2 linked regions of the Lepisosteus oculatus genome follow. Each later gene encodes a partner of the first gene's protein in a complex. Links are inferred from orthologs where the notes say so. Each region holds a gene or a part of one and is shown on either strand. Other genes may lie near its edges.

Region 1 (6,948 bases):
GGATGACCGAACTCCCCCCTGAGTTGCAGCACTTTGGCCTCGGCCCCAGAACCTTTAAGAAGAGATCGGGACCGGAGTGTAAAGATCGCTCCCTGTGGACTGACACCCCAGCTGACAAGGAGAGGAAAGCCAGGGTGGGCTAACGAGTTTCCTTTCACTCAAGAGGGAAACGAGTAAAAGCAATTTAAAGTAACCGTGCCTTGTGCATAAACAAGCGAGAGATTACTGATCTGGGGAGCTCTTACATAGAGAGGTGTGGAAAATCAAATGAATATTACAAGTAATTGGTACTGCTTTTCTGCTTCTTATGGACTATTTTTGAAAGGGCCTGTAACTTATGGTCCCATGGTGTCCTTTCCCCATGACAAAGCCTTTGTCAGAATATTCCCTACACTCAGCTCACTGCATGACGGCTGAAAGGAAATCTAAATTCTCCTTTCCGTACTCATTACTCATTGCCGATGCAGTTACAGCATTCCAGTCTTTTAATATTTGTAGTTTAAGACATATCTGGCATTAATAGCTAATCATAGGCATATTGGTAGCTAATAAATCTATTTAAGGACATGTTTCTGGGAAAATTGTCCCAGTCTGTGAGAGTGTGTTTGTCTGGTACTGTGTCTGCCCTGCGAATGACTGGTATTCTGACCAGCATGTACCTTGGACAAGTGGATTAGAAAATGGATGGACGGAGATCTGTTAACACCACTGGAACCACGACTTCCTGTTGAAAACAATACAGCCCACCCCCACCAAAACTGCAGAGTCACATCACTGAACACCTTTGTAAAATGAACATTCGCATCATGTGTGTCGTGATCATTTCTTTTTCTCGGGTTTATCATTTAAAATGAGGAAGGCTCCTTGTGGTATCTTCTCCTTCTCATCTGTTACCTTTCTGGGGGTATTTTTTCCATAGGAGCGCCTGGAAGGGAAAAGGAGTCCGGAGAAGGAGGAGATCCCACAGCTGTCGGAGAGGGATCAGGAGATGGCGGAGAAGGTGTCCAAGTACAATGTAAGTACCTTAATAGCAAATCATCAGCTTGTCCAAAAAAAGTAAAAATCATAATTGCAGCTTAAGAGAGTTGATTTACCAGATCTTTTTTGATTTTGTATTCAGAGTAAGTTTTTCACTGTTATATTTAATACCAGATAGGTTTTTTTATAGAAAGCAACCCGAAGACATCCTGCTTACCTAACAGCTAAAAGGGCTTTGTAGAAATGACAATACATTTTCTCCACCACGTAAAACAGTACATGCTCTCCATAGGCTTGTCTTATCAAATACAGGCCAGTTGGTTATGGTGATACAGTTCTGTTGCATCTTAGATCTTATTAAAGTATGCCCTTGGAACTAGTTATTTACAGTATACACAGTTGGAAAGATGTTCATTTTTTCAGATTTGTCTTATCCAGAAAAAGAGACGCGTATCGAACATGGTCATGTTTTCTGTTATAGTATCCACTGGCTTTGTTACAGTAAGTGTGTTATTGTCACAAAGGGGGGAATACCATCCTGTACATACTAGTTAGCAAGAAAACCCTGTAAAATGTGTGGTTTCAATGAAGAAAATAAACCTCGCTATCATTGTGCTCCCCCCTCCCCTGCATGTTTATGAAGTAAAATGCGTTCTGTGGATTATCTGTGAAGCTAGGTTCTGATGCAGCTCTGCATTAAAATCAACCGCCTCTTCCCTAATAACACAGGATTCCAAGCGGTCCGAGTCTCTCCTCAACATGCACACAAAGAAGTTAAAGAGGAAGACGGAGGAGGAAGTCACAAAGCCCCAGGAGAGACGGCCTTTTGACAGGGACCAGGACCTGCAAGTGAATCGCTTTGACCAGGCCCAGAAGAAGGCTCTAATCAAGAAGTCTCAGGAACTCAACACCCGGTTCTCACATAGCAAAGGCACCATGTTCCTCTAGCTGTCTGCTCTGCTCCAGGCTGCAGGCCTGACTCGACCAGAACTGGTGTGCTCTATTTCCTTTAGGATGGAAGTATTAGTAGGAGTTAGAGGGATGTTGCAGACGATTAATTGGAGGGCAGAGTTTTACATGAAGATACCATATAAAATCATGTGTGATTTGTTTCTTGTGTGTAAGGGGGGTTTGTAAATTTGAATTCTGAAGAAGGTAGTTTGAACAAAAAGAGAGAGAATCTATTAGGGAAAGTCTTTGTGAGTTCCGTAGGTGGGAATAATGACTTTCAGACAGATTTTTAAAGACGGGTAGTATCAAATATCAGCCCTGTGGACATGATGTCGGATTTAGTTGTATCATCTTACTGAAATCTCTCTTTGCCAGATCTACGTTTGACCATTCACGAAACATGTTTATGTGTGTTCAGGCTTGTCCAGAAATGTCATCTGGAATTTGTTAGTGTAGAGCAGTGATCCAAACTTCTGATCTTGGTGAGCCACATGCCATGCTCTTCATGCTTTCCAGTCTACCAGAGCTCCTAATTATTTAATTTAATCCACTATTGATTTAATCAGTTAATATTACAGCTGTTAATTTTGTAATCAATGAAGAGTTTTGGAAGTTCCTTATAAAGCCCGCAGGGATGAGCAGTGCCTCTTCAGGACTAGGAGAGTGAGGACTCCTGATCTATACAATTTCTTAGGATTAATTCCAGTTCTACAAGGTTCTTGATTCATTATAGATCTGTGGGTAGCACATTGTTATTTGACTTTCAGAGTTTATTTTCTAAGAGAAGCTGTTTTACAAGCCATAACAGATCTGGATCATGCAAAGAGGACCATCTTTATATTTATTTTCTACTCCGAATCAAATGTTACGGAAGAAACCTTGCACAAGGTTTTCTGCTTCCCTCTTCACTTAACATTTTCATGTCAGGAAATCTAGCACAGCCTGATAGATTCTGAATCCAGTTGGGATAAGACGCACTGCAGTTCATCACAGGTTTGGAAAGAACACCACTGATTGCAGTGTAAAAAAAAGGCAAACTTCTGCAGTGACCAGGCCATTTTGGTCTTACATTAAATCCTAATGCATAAAGACCAAAACAGCAATTACTGTGAGAAAAAAATCTAATGTTTTTCAAATAAGGTATTGCCTGTTGTGGAGAAAAAAACCTATAAATATTGCATCACAGAACATTGTTAGTGTTTAATGTAAATATGTTTAAGTGGATTATTTTTCTGGGTAATTCTTTCAAAATAGCTATTTTAAGATGTTTAAGTGTACAATGTATTGTATCTTGAAATTATCCTTGAAATGCATTTCTGCTAGTTTCTATTAATACAATGAATGTAGTTTTTCAGTCCATCACATTTTACATGTTTTTTTAATTAAAAGTTTTTGAAAATGTGTCTTTAGTATTTATTTGAAAGTATGCTGTGCTTTTAAAATAATTGTAAATGACCTTAAGTCAGTTTAGAAAACCCGTTTTTGAAGTAGTTTGTGTCTGGAATTTTAAATGTAATGCTTTGCATTTGTTAAGGAGTTATTTACCAATATAGGGAAAACAGTGTTGTGAAACTATTTTTCCTTTTCTGAATATATATATAAAATTAAAAAATAAATTTGATTAACATTAGAAAAAATAGGATTTTGAATAAAACAGGTGTAAAATGTGGTAGTGTAACTAAATCTTAGTATGTACCCTTTAGTTAAGTATGAGCTTGCACCAGATTTGTATTAAGTTCCAAACTTAGCCAACAGATTTCGTAATTTTATTTACACATATAATACGTTCTTTAACCGTTAAGAGAACGATGTTATCAACTTCTTCCGAAATCACTGTAGTGAACCGCGTTTTGTAATGGTGAGTCATGAAGTTTGTTCCCTTAGGGCCGCCGTATTAGCGTGCGCAGTTGCACTAGTGTTTGTGTTCTGAGACGTAGTGCACGAACAAAAACCGAATGGTGGCTTGTGTGACAAATACTGTATAATATAATAGTAATAATAACAACCACTATAATAATGTCTGAGAAGGGAGAAGTCGATTTAACAGGAGCCAAACAAAATACTGGCGTTTGGTTGGTAAAGGTAAGCTTTTCGGGAACCCAGACGTTTGAAAATGTTTTTTTATTTGTCTGGTTGGCTACTGATACAGGCATCGGGTCGCAAAAAGTTAAATCCCTTAAAGACACGAAATGAAAATTGTAGTTAGCCTGGTAATAAAGCCGTGTGCAGTGCTTCAGATGTGACATAAAAATTTGAATTACATTAATTTCATAAGAATATCCACATTCTTCCACTCCCTTCTGTGTGTTTTATCATTTAAAAGTGTGTCTCCTGTCTTTTGGGAAATTAGTTCAGCTGTTATTGTATTCTGTTCGTGCAGCGTGGGTAGAGATCGCGGGGTGGAGAAAGTCTCAATATTTTACCCTGTAAGCAGGCCTCCTTAGCTGTGGGGGAAAAAAGACATCGACCCTAAGCAGTTTAATGTGATGAAAACGAAGTACACGCCAGAATTGATGAATGATTCGTTTTTATGCCAAGAAAGATGATCTAATCACATCAGTGACTGTATATGGATGTCGTTCACTTAATGGGAATCGTGGAAAAATGCTTTAATGAAAGTTTTACCTAAAATGAAGTAAAAGGTCTGCCTACCCACTCATTGTAGTGTGTAATGGGGCGTGTGACCCAGTCTCTTGTTAGAGATGTTAAATTAAATGGCCAAAGGTTTGTCTTGAGAGAGAAAAGATATAGAGATATTTTCTAATCTTCTTCCTTACAGGTTCCAAAGTACCTTTCACAGCAGTGGGCCAAAGCAACAGGCAGGGGTGAAGTGGGAAAGCTCAAAATTTGCAAGTGAGTGCACCTGTTTCACCCATGTAGTAATTTTGTAAGGCACTTAAAGCACTAGACTTCCTTGTGCCCAGATCTCTGCACGAGCAAGAGCAGTGTGGACTTTTACTTTGATTGAAAATTCAGCTGTTTACAAACACTTCCAATTAATTCACATTGCTCAATGTTGCTAGCTTCACGCTACTCTTTAGCGAGGCTGGGCCTGGGTGCTACTTTAAGCGCTGTTGCTCGACCAGGCGGTGGTGTTATTGCCCCACCAAATCAAAATTTCCCAACCATTGTCCCAGTACAGTGACTGGCAACACTGCGCTATAAGATGTGCTGTCCCTCAGCTAGAGACTTCCTGACTAGCCCAGAGACACCCCTTGGCACATTGGAGTTGGGGTGTTACTCTGGTGTTCTGGATAAAGTTCACTTTAGGCTTGTTCAAGCTGGCCTCCTTAACATTCTCCCCATAATTCAAGTTCACTTAGTGTTTCCTCACTTCTCTGCTGTTTAGAGGGGCTGCTGGCACAAAATGGCCCCCATGTGTTGCCCAGTCAGGTGCTGCACTGGAGCTGTGGATGATGTTTCGCTTGATATGTGTGTAGCACTTTGGGATGAAAACTGCAATACAAATGCAAGCAGCTATGTAAATCCCACCTTTATCTTTAGAGGTTTATGCAGTGGTAGGCTTCTGTTTTTATGTTCTATGGTTTAGAAAATAGTTATGACTGTTTTGGTTGGATATACTGCAGGCCTGTTCAGTCCTGGTTCTGGAAGGTCACTGTGTCTGTACGTTTTCTAGTTTGTTTTAAAGCTGTAGTACTCCAATCATGCCAGTCTCTACAGACAATCTGACCCTCTAGGAAAGACTGGGCAGCCCTGATATTTTGTAACTTCATCAAAGTAACACCCATCTTTTTTTTTTTTTGGAGTTACGCAATGTTAGAAATGATAGGATCATTTTATCCATTCAACACTTGTTCATGACACATTGCATGCATGAGTCCCTGCCAAAAGAGTTGGAGTGTGGAGTAGATCCAGATATTATCCAGACATCATATATACAGTCATTCTAATGATTACAGTATTATACTTGGGGCGGAGCAGTGCCTCTGTGGCTAAGGATCTGCGCCTGTGGCTAGAAGATTGCCGGTTCAAATCCCGAGCCGGCAGAGGAATCCTACTCCGTTGGGCTCCTGAGCAAGGCCCTTAACCCCAACTGCTCCAGGGGCGCTGTACAATGGCAGACTCTCTCCCTATCTGTGTGTCTGTGTGTCTCATGGAGAGCAAGCTGGGGTATGTGAAAAGATAATTCCTAATGCAAGAAATTGTAAAGGGTTAATAAAGTGATGTTATTATTAATAGGTGGTCAGCAGGGTGCATATTAACTTTCACAGACAAACCATTTGTATTTCTTCATAAAGAAGTACTTTAATGTACATTAATAGAACTTGTTAACACATTTTTCTTCTTTTTTTAAAAAGGAATCAGGGAAAAGCAGAGGTAAGCATGACGTCTAATTAAAAAAGTGATAACTGCCATTATGTAAGAATCGCTTTAGTGCTGGAGGTGTTCTGTGTGCCACTGGGTGTCAGTGTTGCAGGATGACATTTTATATCCTCTCTGTTTTTTCCATTTTATTGATAATATTGCAGTTTAGCAACACGTACGTCCAGATGGGATTTGCATTTATCTGGTAACTGTGTAAAATTTCACTTCAGCTTGAGTGTTTCTGGGGCATTTGTCCTGTTTGAACAGTTTTGATTCTGGCATGTTGCAGTTTTGTGAATCATGTTTCATCTTTCACAGACATGGTGATCCTTGACCAATTTAGTGTAAATGAGCATGGGTTGAGCTTGAAGCTTTCTTGGTGCCCCTCGATAATAAACCCAATAGTGTGCTGAAGCAGATCAAGAGAATGCACCCCAGAATCTATTTTGCTTTTCTTCTGTGGTGACCTCCAATGGGTTAGGATTGTGATTAAATGTAGATTTAATTGACTACAGCATAACACTGGAATTAATTTTAGGGTTTAGTGAAATAGCTTGTAGTGGAGCTGTGGCAATATTACTGCAGTGGTGTTTGAACTCGGGGTTGGATTATAATTAACATTACCTTTTGGTGGGTTTGCTCATATTCCCCAAAAGTTTGATTAGTTATGTAAATGTGAGTGATTTATAAAAA
Region 2 (7,888 bases), on another chromosome or scaffold:
CTCCTGATCACCTGTCAGTACATTATCAAATTACTGAGGTATCACTTTAATACTATAAACTAAAACATTCATTTTCCCCAAATTTAATTGCTACAGCAAAGATAAGAGTTGTGCTTTAAAAGTTTTCTGTTTTGGTTTCCTACTGTTCACACGCACTTACCCCAAGAAGTGTATTCCCAGCATGCTTTTGGTAAATGTCATCTGCTTTCTCCCCACTGGTGATGTGAACTGGCAGGAGATTGGAGGCGACAATCGAGAGCCAACAAGATCTCTCGCCCTAAGGCAAGAAGAGCCTTTAAAGTGAAACAGGCTACCACTCATGGAGTGCACAAGAATCTTAATGGCACCACTCATGCCTAAAATATTTTTTTATCTCCTTTGAATCTCATTGTTGCATCTCATTTGAAAAAAAATATTAAATCTCTCTTAAATCATTTGCCACAGACTGCTTTGCAGATTTATACAGCAGTTAACAATCCTGTACAGCAACAGTAGACCTCAAGAGTACAAAAAAAGGGAAAACAAAAAATTCCTGTGGGAGCAAATAGACCTCTGGGGTCCCAGTTCTCCTCCAGGCGATGTGTTTGTGGTACTTTTATTACGAAAAAATCTGTACAGATACCTATTGAATAATCAAGCAAAATCTGTATGTAATATTGGTAATATTGCAATATTACATCCAAAATCAGCATGTAATATTGCAAACTACCATTATTTGCCTCAATTATCCTTTTGGCACTTTTAACTTCACTGAAATCGTAATCCACTATTGTCACTTGCGTTTATTTTACATCACAACATTTAACACAACTGCATTTAAAGTGTCACTTATGTCCATGCTGAATTGGGGAACATACTCTAAAAACAGTTAACAAACATTTTACTTTTTAGTCCATGTATGACACCATGGGCACAAAACCAAATGGTCATGACCTCTACAATTTACCCACCTTAAGGAAATCTATGCGCACTAGGGCGCCCAAAAAGAGCACCATTCCCGGCTTCAGCACAAACGTCCTGGGCACAATGGCTTGAGTTGGTACCACCATCTTCAACTCTTCATCTGTGAGCTGACTGAGAACCTGCAAAATGCAAAGAGATTAAATAGCAGAACTGCTTATTTCAATAGGCTTTCAAACATGGGCACACAGTATACACAGCGCCCTGTTACAAACACTTTACACGTGTCTGCATTAAATGCTGTCTGCCATTTGTTAAAGTTTGCCTTGATCTTTTACAGATTGTTTTTAATCCTCATCCTCCTATTTTGGTGTCATCTGTGAACGTGACTAGTTAATAACCTAATCCCATTAAGATCATTAATATAAATTAAAAATTGATTTAGAGGAGTGGTCCTAACACAGAGACTTGTGGTACTTCAGAAATAACATCACCCAGTTTTGAGCATTTAACCCTTCACTGTTTTCTATGCATTAGGCAGTTCTCAATCCAAATCCATACAGTAGCTTGACTCCCTACTACCTATTGAGAATGAATCTTTTATCAACAGCCTTTGGAAAATCAAAATATACTCTGTTTGTATCCATTACTTCTGTTGCTTGTTTAAAGCTATGCAAAGAGCTACCCTTCCTACTTCCATGTTGACCTTGCTCAAGAAATCCACTGCTGTACAACTGAGCCACTAGTTCTAATTTCCAAACCCCTGCAAGTTCATAGTGTCTGAGAGCTATAACGCGTTGCCTGGTGTTCTGGATGACTACAAGAAAGAAGTCTGTACGTGGGTCTGATAGAGGCGACCTCTATGGGCACATATAAGGTTCTGAGGGGCATCTACATGGAAAAGGGAGCTGGAGTCAGTGTAGGACAATCAGTTTCCTCTGGGAAATAATCAAGCTTATCAGTACTAAAGCTTCCCATGTCTGCCTGGAATAAAAACAACTACAAGATGGCACATTTTAACTAATAGGGATAGCAATAACTGACCATGGGCACCAGCAGACAGTAAGTGTTTCAGTCAGAGAAGAGCTCTACATCTGACATGATGCTGCACTCATGACTCATGTCTGATTCAATATATTAGGTGCATGTAGTAATTATTCTGCAGCTAAGCACAAAGATTGCATTGGCTAAACGTACAATACGTTTTAGCAAAAGCACTCACACAGTGTTCTTTCATAATTCCCGGGGTGTCATACAGCCAATGCGCATCTTTGAGCTCGTTGTGGGTGAACTCCACTGGGTTGGAAAGAGCTGATTTTTTACTCATTCTGTCTTCTTCCTCCTCTCCCACACTGAGACTTTCTAGATCAAAATCCACAACATCCATATCTTTCTGCGCCTGGACAGCCGAGCCAAAAGATCTGCCAACTCGCCCTGAAATGAACAGGGAAGACAAATTCCTTGTCAACCGTGCAAGTGTGGCAACTCCACCCCCACAGGAAGTCTTTCATTGGGCTCTTGAAGAAATCAGGGTCATGGAGGAACAGGAATAGGTTTATTATTATAATTATGGGCTTGAAACCAGGCTGTGTTAAGGTACCAGATGCTGGAATGTAAGTTAAAGTGAGGACTGAGAGTTAAGGGGAGCATAGGGTTAGAGTTAAGAGTTTCACTGTGTCATTTAAGTTAGGGTTAAGGGGAAGTTTAGATTTAGTCACAGGGTTTTTATTCTGTCTCCTTTTAATTTATTCAGGCCTGAACAAATGTTGATCTGGTACTGTCATAGAAGTCAGAACTCTTACCTACTAAATATCCCTGCTTGCTGAGCTGCTGCAGTCGTCTTAACTCCTGTGGGCTCAGGTCCTTCTCTGACTGAGAGCCATCACTCTTCAGTCTCTCAGACCTCTTGAACATGCGATATGGAGTGGGGTTGATGATTGGGAACTTCAGGAGATTTAGTGTGGTGCCTCATGAAGAACAGATAGGTTAGTGTCTGCTTCCATCTGCAACAACCTAAAATATGACCACCTAACATGGGATAAATTTAGGTTTTGACAGATGGAAAACAATACTTTTCATACACTGAGCTGAGGGAATAGCGAAAGGTATTTCTTCCTCAATCATCAAAACATCTAGTGATTTAGACTGAGGTTTATTACACTGTTCATACAAAGACTTCACATAAACATATCCTAATAACTTGAACTTGGCACTGCAAGGCCTTTACTTAGACATATGGGCAGTTTCTCTGCAAATCATGCTAAACCTCACTGCATTATATAGTGCCTTCATAGGCTTCTACGACGAAAGAGAGCGGGTCTTCACTTTGCACTGGCCTGCAGCCTGGCAAATGTACAGTAATAATTACCTGGCCATCGAGATATGGTAGCTTTCTGAATCACATCTGGAGCTTTCGACTTGCAGTAGTCTGACTCCAGCAGGGTGTTAAACAGTGTAGACTTTCCAGCATTTGCTGTTCCAACCAAATACACATCTCCTTTATATTTCCACGATCTTTGAAGACTCGAAATTAGGTTTTCTATCCCATAGCCGGTCTTGGCGCTGATGAGATGGACGTCTTTGGTGCCATCGCCTAAAGTAATACCTGCGTCAACACAATATGCAAAAAGCTGACGTTTAATTCGTTTTAAATAGCAATCCGAATCGCCAGGTAGCAGATCTATTTTATTTCCCAGAACCACTATGGTTTTATTTTTGCCCACTAGTTCTAACAGATCTGGAATGATAGAATCGGGAATATCCAGAAGGTCCACAATGAACAATACCAAAGCTTTTTCTTGGCGTATCCGACTAACAACATTCCGATATTCTTCTTTCGAAACCTGAATATTTAAAGACTTTTGGTGATGGACAAGCAAGAAACATCGCTGACACACCGCTCTGTCCATCTTGTCCTCCTTTATTAGCTGTTTGTATTTCTCACTGGGTACATAACCGGGCAAAATCGGGTCAGTGCAATGCATACGAGCACCGCATCCCGAACAGCTGTTGTCACTAAAAGGAATCTCCTTATCTGGAGTGCCGTATATTTTTTGAGATTTTTTCCTTTTAGAAGTTAATTTAGGAAGGGGGAAGCCAGCGTCATGAAATTCTATATCCATTTCTTGTACGTCCTGGTCCTGGTCTAACACTGTATCTTCTAATAACCGCATCTGTATTTCCAAAGCTCTGTGATACACCTCTGTACACGACTTTCGCGATGCGTTTCTCTCTTTATTGGCCACAGACCCCATCTGCGAAGGGGGTTTGAAAGAAACCCCATCATCGTTCTCTTCCTCTAGGTTGGAGTAGTCTAGAAAGACGAATTCTTCTTCTTTTTCTGGTTCAATCGATGTGTAAGAGTTTCCAAGACGTCCCTGCTTTCCGCTGTCGCCGATTGCCGCTTGCGTTGTGCTGTAACAGCGGGCCACTGACGTCCACGTGTCTTCCAAGCAGAAGATCTTAAAAGTTGGCACTTTTCTACAGAGTCCTGGACAATTGCGTAGAATAGATGAACAGCGATTACCTTGTCTGTCCCCCAAAGTTGGTAAAAATACAGGAAACACATTCCGGGCGCAATAACAAGCAGGAGCACATTGCTTTAGTCGGTATAACCTCTGCATTTTTAATATAATTAAAAAAGAAATTATACTTGAAATATTTTTTTAAAGGTTACGTTTTTTCTTCTTAGTTGAACCTTGAATGGCAAATAATAACATACACATGTGGTGCGTCTAGGAGTCTTCCATTTTTAGTACTCTGACTCCTGTGACGTATATGATTACCACATCAAACCATCCGAAATTATTATTAATAATTATTATCACGATTCTCTTTGTATTATTATTGAGAATATCAATTACAATTAACATATTTCTGGTGGTTCAATTATTTTAAAATGTTTCGTTTGACGTCACGAAAGCCTGCAGGAAGTGACGTATACACCATCGATATCTCGTACTGTTGTGTTCAGGTGGTGTGGATGGAAGTAGAGGGTTATAGCGCACTTATTTTTAATTCAACGTATTTGTAAGTGTTTTTTTTTCTTTTGGAGTCAATAAAGGAAGTACCTTCAATCCAATATGTATGATCAAGATGAAGGTAGGTATCTGGTTTGTTTAGTTCTTTTTTTAAACAATATTTTGAACATGGCGTCAGGGTACGTTCTTTGATTTTTGGTCTGTATTGTACAGAGGTGTCTTATAAATGCAAAATGAATTGTGCCATTAACTCTGACACGTTTAACGACATCTGTTATTTAGATTTTGTGCATCCTGAAGTTTGTTTTAGAAATATTGTGCTTCGTTTTCAACATTCTCAGTCTAAACCGTTCGTATTTACAGTCACTTTCAGCACATGAGTTCTAAATTTGTATTTTGAAATGCATTCAACAGGCGAGAGCTTTACATCCAAATAGGGAAGGTGATTTTCCAAAAAGCTTTTGGCATTTCAGTTTTATCAAGAAACGCCAGAAAATGAAATCGGAGGAACGGTAATTAGTTCATGGTGGTTCTAACATCTCATTTTGCGTACCACTGTCCTTAGGAATTAAAAACGTGGCCTTTTCTTTAATGTTCGAAAAGGTTGCAGAGTAGCAAACGTTATAAAAGTCAATTTCGGTGAAGTTAACAGATGCCTCCTGATGTATTAGTCTAAGTTCTGTCTTTCGACAAACAATCACACTCGTGTCGCCATTGTAACAAAGCTGCTTCAGAGAGGGCAGGTTATTGAGGAGAATAAAGATTTTTTGCTCCTTTTATCCTTGATCATGCCTTTAGGAAGTGGAATGAAGCAAAGTGCCTGGAGAAAATTCATATGTGTACATGCAGTGCGATCAACTCTGCATAGGCGGCACGCTGTCTCCAGAGCTGTGAGATAGCAGGTCCAAGTACCATGTCTCTTGAAAAGCTTTTTACCACGCATGTAGTGTAAAAACAGTTTCTGTGAAAATCAAATGCATTAAGGGCCATCTTACCTTTCTTTGTTAGTTTCATATGCAGCAAGCTTTCTTCCTGTAGAAGGTAACTGCCTGTGAATAATACTTTTTTAGGGGGAAGTCCAAAGAGAGCATAATATTTTATGTGGATGGGGCTCCCTTAATATTACAATTCTGTGGTCTTGTTTAGATATTCAGTATGATGAAGATGACGATGAGATCACTCCAGACTTGTGGCAGGAAGCCTGCTGGATTGTCATCAGGTGAGCAGCCTAAAAAATATAACATATTAACCACCTTCACCTTTTAGGGTTATCTTTTGATTTTATTGATCTTATTTTTGACTTAATACTCACATTTCAACATTCTTCTGTGCTGTAAAAGTCCAGCCCTGGTCCCAGTGACGTACAACCCAGCAGATTTTGAATGTCACCATTAGTTTTCCTACAAACAATTGTAAAGACTTGAGAACTGAAATGAATAATTTCAGTTTTGTTCATTTTTTAAAGCTACACAGTTTAAAGGTTGGTCATTCCTGATTTAGTTGAACCAGTTACCTGACTAAACTGATCACAGTCCACATGTTGCAGGTCCTTACAAAGATATAATTTAAGGATGACCTATAAGACCTACTTGATTGTGGCTCTCCACTGCAAAAGTTGAACTGTTTTTCATTTTGTTTTAAGTGTGTCCCCTTATATATTCATATATATGTTTGTCTGTTTATGTCCAGTCAAGTTCTATCCTGCTTTTTTAAAAAAGCACATTTTTTTTCTGATACAGATATACAAAGTTAAAAACATTTCTGGTAAAGGGTTTCACAGATTTGGCTGTAATGAATCAGAATGTATTTAAAGTTCTAAAACAGAAGGAAATGTTGGGCTTTAATGAAGATAGTCTATAGTTCACTGTCATTCTTAACATTGCAAGCTGCAGTTTGTCTGATGCAGTCAGCATTCTTCCTTTCTGTGCAGTTATTCTGACCTATATCTATAGAAGCAGTAGTGATCATCTCCTGTAATGCAGATCTTCAAAGCAAATTCAGCCCAGGTTTTTTTCCACATTTGGGGCACAAAGGGGGAGAATGGTATTAGTAATGGATGGCCTGTTCTTGTCTTCGTAGTTCTTATTTTGATGAAAAGGGTTTGGTGAGGCAGCAGCTGGACTCTTTCGATGAGTTCATCCAGATGTCAGTACAGAGGATTGTGGAGGATGCCCCACCCATCGACCTGCAGGCTGAGGCCCAGCACACCTCTGGAGAAGTGGAGGAGCCCGTGAGTCTCTCGACGGCTTGAAAAGATTTTTCCGGCATGTGACCCCAAGCAGTCTGAAAGTGTAGTGATATGTATTGATGCACAGATACGTCTGATTAATTGGTGCAGGGGGCGGTTTGCCCACAGTAGGGGCGATTTCTGTGAAATCAATGGGTGGATTTTGCATGTTTATCACCTCTTGTCATCTTTTCGTTCTAGCCACGTTACCTGCTGAAGTTTGAGCAGATTTATCTTTCCAAACCTACGCACTGGGAGAGAGATGGAGCTCCTTCTCCTATGATGCCAAATGAAGCTAGACTCCGAAATCTTACGTAAGTTGAGCTTTACATTGTTGTGTTGCTCCCTATTCTGATGCGATCCCCCACATTGTTTAGTTTTGTCCATTGCTGTTGCAGAAATGTGCTTCACACCAGGGTTTTTTTGAGAGCTAGAGCAGCATTGTGCAGCAGGGGTTAGGTCTCTGAAACTGGAAGGTTAAACTCCAGCTGAGACAGTGCTGTTTGTACCTTTGACCAAAGGAATTCACCTGAAGTACTCCAATAACAATACCTGGCTTTGATATTTTTCCATTTTAAAATAAAGTTGGACACTGGGCTCCTCATTTCTGGTCTACCTTCTAAAATAACGTTTCTCCCATCACAATATCAATTTCTGGATAATTTATTTCTCTTATTAAGGGAATGTATTTTAACCAACTGGTTTAAGAAAAACACCCTCTGTTACATTTTGGTATGGTGAATGTTGTAGTGTACTGCCCTATGGAAGGCTTAGTGCAGTT

What was found. The genes of interacting proteins can lie anywhere in the genome.
Region 2: general transcription factor IIF subunit 2 (region 1) and polr2b share a complex: the UniProt entries of both Homo sapiens proteins name them as parts of the TBP-based Pol II pre-initiation complex. The link is inferred for Lepisosteus oculatus from reciprocal best matches to the Homo sapiens genes GTF2F2 and POLR2B.

What each region holds. Positions count from the first base shown.
Region 1 is NC_090710.1:16,201,734-16,208,681, reverse strand, and holds the start of general transcription factor IIF subunit 2, read left to right. Parts: upstream 1-3,861; 5' UTR 3,862-3,945; coding exon 3,946-4,011; intron 4,012-4,708; coding exon 4,709-4,782; intron 4,783-6,248; coding exon 6,249-6,267; intron 6,268-6,948. Other genes in the region: gpalpp1 (GPALPP motifs-containing protein 1), read left to right, coding at 1-134, 920-1,015, 1,708-1,926. UniProt on the Homo sapiens protein: TFIIF is a general transcription initiation factor that binds to RNA polymerase II and helps to recruit it to the initiation complex in collaboration with TFIIB.
Region 2 is NC_090696.1:33,268,472-33,276,359, reverse strand, and holds the start of polr2b (DNA-directed RNA polymerase II subunit RPB2), read left to right. Parts: upstream 1-4,851; 5' UTR 4,852-4,982; coding exon 4,983-5,001; intron 5,002-6,026; coding exon 6,027-6,099; intron 6,100-6,959; coding exon 6,960-7,110; intron 7,111-7,308; coding exon 7,309-7,421; intron 7,422-7,888. Other genes in the region: noa1 (nitric oxide-associated protein 1), read right to left, coding at 161-277, 951-1,082, 2,123-2,334, 2,703-2,867, 3,269-4,523. UniProt on the Homo sapiens protein: Catalytic core component of RNA polymerase II (Pol II), a DNA-dependent RNA polymerase which synthesizes mRNA precursors and many functional non-coding RNAs using the four ribonucleoside triphosphates as substrates.